2 linked regions of the Macaca fascicularis genome follow. The protein of the gene in region 1 purifies or fractionates together with the protein of each later gene. This does not show direct contact. Links are inferred from orthologs where the notes say so. Each region holds a gene or a part of one and is shown on either strand. Other genes may lie near its edges. The genes, in order: SNX33 and DNM2.

What was found.
Region 2: the proteins of SNX33 (region 1) and DNM2 purify together in Homo sapiens (co-immunoprecipitation; 3 studies listed by BioGRID and IntAct, with this or other methods). This does not show direct contact. The link is inferred for Macaca fascicularis from reciprocal best matches to the Homo sapiens genes SNX33 and DNM2.

Annotation. Positions count from the first base shown.
Region 1 is NC_088381.1:52,871,464-52,875,834, forward strand, and holds the start of SNX33 (sorting nexin-33), read left to right. Parts: upstream 1-1,537; 5' UTR 1,538-2,728; coding exon 2,729-4,199; intron 4,200-4,371. UniProt on the Homo sapiens protein: Plays a role in the reorganization of the cytoskeleton, endocytosis and cellular vesicle trafficking via its interactions with membranes, WASL, DNM1 and DNM2. Acts both during interphase and at the end of mitotic cell divisions.
Region 2 is NC_088393.1:11,284,766-11,289,171, forward strand, and holds the start of DNM2 (dynamin-2), read left to right. Parts: upstream 1-1,392; 5' UTR 1,393-1,555; coding exon 1,556-1,716; intron 1,717-4,406. UniProt on the Homo sapiens protein: Catalyzes the hydrolysis of GTP and utilizes this energy to mediate vesicle scission at plasma membrane during endocytosis and filament remodeling at many actin structures during organization of the actin cytoskeleton.

The sequences.
Region 1 (4,371 bases):
GTCTGGGAACCATGTCCCTCAAAACAGCCAAAGGTATCCATCTTTAGCAGAACTACCTTGTACCAGTTAATCTGCAATAAGTGACTAGAGAGAGAATGAAGGGAAGATCTAGCTGGACAGGGTAGACAAGACTCCAGGGTACAGCCAGGAAAGGGGATCCTCCTGAAGCCTTTGCCTCATCTTAGGCACCTCCTCCTTCAGGAAGGTTTCCTTGATCCTTGCTCCACCCAGGCTGGAGTAGGTATCCTCATGTGCACTTTTCATGGCACTGACTAGTCACACTGGGCAGGGAGCATTTGTCTACTTGTCACAATACATCTGAGCTTTTGGAAAATAAGGATAATGTCTTAATTGTCTTTGTAGCTCAGGGGCCTGGTGCAGAGTAGATACTCAGTTAATGTTTCTTGAGTGCATGACTTGGCTGAATGAATGACAGAGAATGGATTGATTAAAGACAAGAGAGGATGGACTGTAAGCCCCCCAGGATAGGAACCCCGACTGACTTGTGGTGTACTCCCCAGTGCCCAGCACAGTGCCTAGCAGATTCAGTGCCCAAAGTGTTCCAGATATGCTGACCGAGGATCAGATCCCACTTGCCTCAAGACTCTCTACCTGACCACCTCTCTCCTTGCTGCCCCTGGCTAGTACAGAACATCCAGTCCCGCTGCCGCACTAAGCAACACGGAACCGGGTGGCACCTAGACTTGTTCCCTGTCGCTGCAGATGTAGGGTAGTGTCTTTCCCTCCTTCCAAGCTAGTCGCCCAGGGCAGGGTCGCCCTATCTGGCTAGGGTGCTGCACCCTCAGCTGTCGGTATCTTAGGTCAGACGCCCGGAACGCGCAGGCCGTTTCTACCCCTCCGGAAAACAATCTCCGAGCTGCGCCACGACCCCGTCCCTGCGGAGCAGGAGTGAGGAATGGGAAGGTGGGAAGGCGAGCCCGCGACTCTGCTCCCCAACCCCAGCTGGCACGGCTTTTCACGCACCTCTCCCCGCCCGGCCCGATTTCCCCATCCTGGCTCTGGCGCGGTGCTCCTTGCAGCCCCACGCTTTGCAAACTTTGGGAGTTTTACTCCATTTGCGTCACGGAAAAGGCAGGAGGATGACGGAGTCCAGGAAGCGAGGCAGCAGTGGCTGGCAAGCTCCACCGCCGGGCGCTCCAACCACGGGGGCGTGAGGTGTCTCCCGGCGAGGGCAGACAGACGGAGGGAGAGCAGAGGAGGTGGCGGTCCCAGAGACCAGCCCCGGAGGCTCTCGGGCTCCCTCGTTCCCGGGTCGTTTCCTCCCTCTTGCCTCCGGGACTGAGCGAGGGCACTGGCCAGATGGGAAGCCGCGCGGAGGAGTAGGCGGGGGCTCGGCTGCAGCGCCCCGGGCCCGCGGGAGGGCGGAGCTGGCCGTCCCTGCCCCGCCGGGACGCACGGAAGTGCAGCGGAGTTTGCCCGATTCTCCAGCCTGCTTCCCCCTCCCTCCTCCCTCTCCCCACCCCTCACCTCCCCTTTGGCGATCCCCTCCTTCCTCGGGACGCCACCTCCCGGAATCGCGTTTTTGTTTTGGAGCTGCCTTCTCGCTGGCGGCGCGGAGGGTCTGCGAGCGCAGGGGAAGGCAGGCTGGGGGCGCAGCCCGCCCCCCACTGGCCGGGTCCCGCAGGGCGGAGCGGAGGACGGACGGACAGACGGCCAGCCGCGCCATCTGCTCGCCGGAGCTCACTCTCCAAACTCCAAACTGTTGAGTGTGTGCGTGCACGCGAGGGTGGGGGTCGGGGGTCGTAAGTCCCGGGTGAAGAACTGGTTTCTGCTGGGGTTACCTTTGGACGGGGTTCCTGGGATTCAGAGCAGGGTCAGCGTCAGTCTCAGAAACTGCTGAGGAATTAGGCAAACAAAAGAGACCACTCAGCGACTGGCCAGAAGTCGCCCGACCGCCTCGTCGCGCCCCCTCCTTCCTCCGGGGTTGGGACTGGCCACTTCTGGGGCGGGGAGAGGGCGCCCGAGCCGGCGGGGGCTCCGGCTGCGCAGCCGGGGTCGAAGAGTTGGCGGCCTGTTGTGTAAGCCTCAGTCCTTGTTTTCCCGGCCTGGCTCGTTGTGAAGCCGGACACATCCACCCTTGGACTCGATTCAGGCGGCTGCTGCTTTTCTCCTTGCCCCTCTTGGATTTTCCGGATATTTGAAAACCCAGTGGCCCAGGAGCAAGAGGAGGAGGAAGGAGGAAGGGGCAGATCTGCAGAGGAATGTGAGAGCCTCCCAAAGCCAGAGTGGCCAAAAGAATCTGGGAGCCAGAGGGACAGCCGAGCCCTGCCTGGGTTTCTGGAATGGTGGTTTCCGAGTGAGTCTCTTCTATTTTAGAACGTTGTTCCAGTGGAAAGTGTCGAAATTTTCCCCTCGCAGGGCAGATTTCTCCAGGTCACTTGACTTTTCTTCTGGGAGTAGGAGTTAGGAGAGACTCCCCTCTAATCCCCCAGGGGCTGCTAAGGGAGGAGGCTATGGACATGAGCCCTCCCTGCTCACAAGCATATGCCCGGAGACCTGATAGGGCAGTTTCTGGGCCGTGGACATTGCTTTGAAGAGCAGAAGATTGGACAGCATCTGTGGGTGCTGAGACCCCACCTTAGGACCTGAGAGATTGAACTGTGTAAGCGCCATTCAGCTGCGAGTGCATTCTTGGACTTCCTTGTGAGCATCCCGGGTCTGGACAGGACCCTCTCCTTCCCATCTGTCTGTACCACCCAGCCCAACCATGGCACTGAAAGGCCGAGCCCTCTATGACTTTCACAGTGAGAACAAGGAGGAAATCAGCATCCAGCAGGATGAGGACCTGGTCATCTTCAGCGAGATCTCACTGGATGGCTGGCTGCAGGGCCAGAACAGCCGTGGGGAGACAGGGCTCTTTCCTGCCTCTTACGTGGAGATCGTCCGTTCTGGCATCAGCACCAACCATGCTGACTACTCCAGCAGCCCTGCAGGCTCTCCGGGGGCCCACGTGAGCTTGTACAATAGCCCCAGTGTGGCCAACCCAGCTAGGAGTGGTGGGGGCAGTGGCTTCCTCTCAAACCAGGGTAGCTTCGAGGAGGATGATGATGATGATTGGGATGACTGGGACGATGGATGCACAGTGGTGGAGGAGCCACGGGCTGGTGGGCTGGGCACCAATGGGCACCCTCCCCTCAACCTCTCCTACCCTGGTGCCTACCCCAGCCAGCACATGGCCTTCCGGCCCAAGCCACCACTGGAGCGGCAGGACAGCCTGGCATCTGCCAAGCGAGGCAGTGTGGTGGGCCGTAACCTCAACCGTTTCTCATGCTTTGTGCGTTCTGGAGTGGAGGCCTTCATCCTGGGTGATGTGCCCATGATGGCCAAGATCGCTGAGACATACTCCATTGAAATGGGCCCTCGTGGCCCCCAGTGGAAGGCCAACCCCCACCCATTTGCCTGCTCTGTGGAGGACCCCACAAAACAGACCAAGTTCAAGGGCATCAAAAGCTACATCTCCTACAAGCTCACACCCACCCATGCTGCCTCACCTGTCTACCGGCGCTACAAACACTTTGACTGGCTCTATAACCGCCTGCTACACAAGTTCACTGTCATCTCAGTGCCCCACCTGCCTGAGAAGCAGGCCACAGGCCGCTTCGAGGAGGACTTCATTGAAAAGCGGAAGCGGAGACTCATCCTCTGGATGGACCACATGACCAGCCACCCTGTGCTCTCCCAGTACGAAGGCTTCCAGCATTTCCTTAGCTGCCTAGATGACAAGCAGTGGAAGATGGGCAAACGCCGGGCGGAGAAGGATGAGATGGTGGGTGCCAGCTTCCTGCTCACCTTCCAGATCCCCACCGAGCACCAGGACCTGCAGGACGTGGAAGATCGCGTGGACACTTTCAAGGCCTTCAGTAAGAAGATGGATGACAGTGTCCTGCAGCTCAGCACCGTGGCGTCAGAGCTGGTGCGTAAACACGTGGGGGGCTTCCGCAAGGAATTCCAGAAGCTGGGCAGTGCCTTCCAGGCCATCAGTCATTCCTTCCAGATGGACCCCCCTTTTTGCTCTGAGGCCCTCAACAGTGCCATTTCTCACACGGGCCGTACCTATGAAGCCATCGGGGAGATGTTTGCTGAGCAGCCCAAGAATGACCTCTTCCAGATGCTGGACACACTGTCTCTCTACCAGGGCCTGCTCTCTAACTTCCCTGACATCATCCACCTACAGAAAGGTAAGACCCAGTGCAGGCAGGAAACCCATCCTGAGTCTGACTCTCTGCTGGGCCCTGGGGAGATGGGGATGGCCTGGATAGAATGGAGCAACTTATCTTTATTTCTCTGTCTCAATCATTCATTTAACAAATGTGTTGGACTGGGCATGGTGGCTCATGCTTGTAATCTCAG
Region 2 (4,406 bases), on another chromosome or scaffold:
ACAGCAAGACCCTGTCTCTATAAAAAATAAAATAAAAATAATTAGCTGGGCATAGTTGACTCAGGGCATGCCTGTGGTTCCAGCTACTTGGGACGCTGAGGCGGGAGGATCGTTTGAGCCCAAGTGCTTGTTGAATTGAGCTATGAGTCCACTACTGCACTCCAGCCTGGGCAACAGAGCAAGACCCAGTCTCTAGGAAAGGAAGATTCATTGGCTAGACGCGGTGACTCACGCCTGTAATCCCAACACTTTGGGAGGCCAAGATGGGCAGATCACTTGAGGCCAGGCGTTCGAGACCAGCCTGGCCAATATGGTGAAACCCTTTCTGTCTACTAAAAATACAAAATTAGCTGGGTGTGGTGGCGTGCACCTGTAATCCCAGCTATTCGGGAGGCTGAGGCAGGAGAATTGCTTGAACTGGGGAGGCAGAGGTTGCAGTGAGCCAAGATCGCGCCACTGCACTCTAGCCTGGGTGACAGAGTGAAACCCCGTCTCAAAAAGAGAAAAAAAAAGATTCATGCTCTGCTAAAGTTGAAGAAGCCGGGGAAAAAACTTTGGAGCGTTAGCGGCGTCAAGATCGGGCGTGAGCAGAAAGGGCACAGTATTTGCAAAGGCGTGGAGGAGGAGTGATTTTACTGCGTTCTGTCTCTGGGAAGCAATGACTTGGCCTTACCCATTTACAGAGTGCATTGGGACCCTGGTCCCAGAGTTGGTTTGCAGTCTGGGCACTGAGATGCGTTCTGGGACTTGTAGTTTTCCCCAGAGCCAGGAAACTCAAAAATCGAGACATCGGATCCCACCACGAGGTGTCGCCCTTGAGCGAGTACGGTGGGACCTATCCTGTACTTCAGAAGACTGTTGCAGATATCCAACAATCACAGGGGAAGAACGCGAGTTTTTCTGATTGACAGATATGGTTCTCAATCATAGTGAAGATTCGGATGTTACACCCCGCCCTCTTTTGCCTGGTTGGCTGGAGCAACGAAGTGATATTTATATGAACCAATGGGAAATTCTTAGGGAACTAGGTAGTAGCTCAATCCCTAACATCATTGGTCCACATTGTCGACTGGCACGTCTGCCTGCCAATAAGATGGTGTAACCTCGCCAATGGGCGGAGCCAAAGTGCATTTTTTCTGAAACACCTCCTTCCTCTCTTGACAACTTGCTTTCTGCCGCTATTGGCTTTTGCACAACAGTGACGGTTCTTTTGTCCAATAAACCAGCAAGACGGTCCTCAGGGGGAAGGTTTACTCAACCATTGGCTTGTGCCTCGTTTTTATTGGCTAGTGTGCCCGAGTGGCGGCGCAGCAGGCCAATCGCGTGCGGCGCGAGTGATTTGTGCGCAGCCCTGGGGCCGGGGCGGGAGGTCGCTTGGGTCGGGTGTAGCCTGAGAACCGGATGAGGCGGCGACCGTGAGGCCGAGCCGGGAGCGGGTGTCTTGCCGAGGCCCGGGCGGGCGGAGAGCAACGGCTACAGACGCCGCGGGGCCAGGTCGTTGAGGGTCGGCGGCGGCGGGGAGCGCAGGGCGCTCGGGCCGGGGGCCGCCGGCGCCATGGGCAACCGCGGGATGGAAGAGCTGATCCCGCTGGTCAACAAGCTGCAGGACGCCTTCAGCTCCATCGGCCAGAGCTGCCACCTGGACCTGCCGCAGATCGCTGTGGTGGGCGGCCAGAGCGCCGGCAAGAGCTCGGTGCTGGAGAACTTCGTGGGCCGGTAAGCGGGCGCGGCAGGGATCGCGGGCGGGCGGCGGCCTAGGGCGCGGAGGGCGGACCGGGAATGGCGCTCCCTGCGCCGCCGGCGTAACTGCGGCGCTTGCGTGCCGGCGGCGGGGAACCGGACGGGGTCGGGGAGGCGGGCCCTGTGGGACGCCCTGGGCAGAGGACTCCCTGCAGGGGCTCGGGAGCGGGCCTGGGCCCCAGGGGCGGCGTCATGGGCCGGGGGGCCGTAGGACCGGAGGTGTGCTGGAATCCTGCGGTCCATCTGGTCCCAGCTTTCGTGGGTGAACTCTGCCGTCTGGTTGCCCGTGGGTCTGGGGTAGATCCCTCTTCTGCTCTTTCGGGCTGTTTATCAGAGGTGAAACCGGCCATCTAGATATCTACTGGGGCGACCCCTGCGGTCTGGCTGGCTTGTTCTTGTATCTGGAGCTGCCCCCGCCATCTGGTTGGCTGTCTCTCTGTCCTGGGCAAGCCTCCCTGCCACAACCATTTGGTTGTCCATCTGTCCAGTCCCACCTGGCAGCCCCCTGCTGTCTGGCTAGCTGTAAAGGGTGACCTCTGCTGTCTGGCCGCCCATCCGTGCCCCTCACAGACTTTAACACTGAGCAGTCCCTCTGTTGGGTGACACCAGCTGGCCTCCACTGTCTGACTGGCTAGCTGACTCCTAGGGGACCCTGTTTGATTCTCTCAGGCTGACTCTTAGAGCTTAGTCCCTGCCTAGAGCTGGTCCTCTCTTCCGTCATTCTTCTGTCTGTCTGGCCATCTCCTGTTCTGCGCATGACTACCCCTGAGTGTCTGGCCCAGCGCCTCTGGAAGTGGGTGGCAGGAGGGTAGAGGGGAGAATACAGCTGAAGGATGAGGTTTGAACCCTACTTCCCCTGTCAGCTAGAAGGAGGACCCTGGGGGTACCTTACTTCAGGATTCCTTTCAGGGTGCTAGAACACAGGGCCCGCCTCCCAGCTACAGCCTGCCAATTGGGGGCCCTCCTTTGGAGCCTGGGAAGGGGCTTCTCGCGTGACCAGGCCTCAGTGGCTAGCCCTGGGATGTAGCCTTCTCTGGACAGCCCTGAGAAGCCGCGGTGTGCCCATCTGTCCAGTGGGCAGACTCCACTCTCTGGGCTGTTTCCAGGATTCAGGAAGCAAATGAATGAGAACAGCCCGTGCAGCCACCTCTCCCTCCCACCAACCCCTCTTGCCTTTCTTGTCTCCCAGATGGGCGGCCACTTCTCCATTCCAGGAACTACTCATTTGTAGTGGTGTGGCTGCCAAATGATAACATCCTCCTCCTGTCATTATTGTCATTGTTATTGTTTTTTTTTTTTTTTTTTTTTTTTTGAGACGGAGTCTTGCTCTGTCACCCAGGCTGGAGTGCAGTGGCCGGATCTCAGCTCACTGCAAGCTCCGCCTCCCGGGTTTACGCCATTCTCCTGCCTCAGCCTCCCGAGTAGCTGGGACTACAGGCGCCCGCCACCTCGCCCGGCTTTTTTTTTGTATTTTTTAGTAGAGACGGGGTTTCACCGTGTTAGCCGGGATCGTCTCTCGATCTCCTGACCTCGTGATCCGCCCGTCTCGGCCTCCCAAAGTGCTGGGATTACAGGCTTGAGCCACCGCGCCCGGCTTGTTATTGTTTTTATCAGTGTCAAGGGATAATGTTTTTCTTGATTCAACATCTTGAATCCCAAGTAAGGAGTGGGGTGGAGGCTGTGTTACCATCCCCACGTTAGCTGAGCTGGGAGGCTTAGAAGGAACTGTGTTCACCCAAGGCCACCAGGCTGGCGTAAAGCCTTGTGTCTGCTATCCCAGAGCCTTGGGGCTTTCCTCCCAGCAGCACGAATTTCCTCCTTTGCTACCTTGTCTCTGGCTCATTGCCTTCTGTCTTACCACAGTGTTTGCAAAGCTCTGTCTCTTTCACATGCCTTGTGACCTTGCACAGGTTGTCTTGGCTTCTCTAAGTCTTGGTTGACACTCCTAAACAAGTTTTTTTTTTTTGTTTTTTTTTTTTTGAGACAGAGTCTCGCTCTGTCTCCCAGGCTGGAGTGCAGTGGCATGATCTTGGCTCACTGCAACCTCTGCCTCCCAGATTCAGGCGATTCTCCTGCCTCAGCCTCCCGAGTAGCTGGGATTACAGGCGTCCACTACCATGCCCAACTAATTTTTGTATTTTTAGTAGAGACGGGGTTTCACCATGTTGGCCAGGCTGGTCTCGAACTCCTTACCTCAAGTGATCCTCTCGCCTTGGCCTCCCAAAGTGCTGGGATTACAGGCGTGAGCCACCAGGTCGGGCCCCAGGAGTTCAAGACCAGCCTGGGTAACATGACAAGACACCATTCTACAAAAAATAAAACAAGTAGCCAGGTAGGGTAGTAGTCCCACACCTGTAGTCCAAGCAACTCACGAGGCTGGCCCTGGGAGGATTGCTTGAGCCCAGGATGTCCAGACTGCAGTGAGCTGTGATCGCACCATTACCCTCCAGCCTGGGTGACAGAACCAGATCCTGTTTCAAAAAAAAGAAAAGAAAAGGAAGTGCTTACCTAATGCAGTGCCTGGCACATAGTAGGTCTACATGGATAGGGCTGTTGTTGTTTATCTGGCTGGTTCCTTTGCTGTCAGTGACAAAAGCTAACCAGAATGAAAGTGCTTTCATGTTACACACTTAAGCCTTATGAGGGCGGCATAAAAAAAGGCTTCT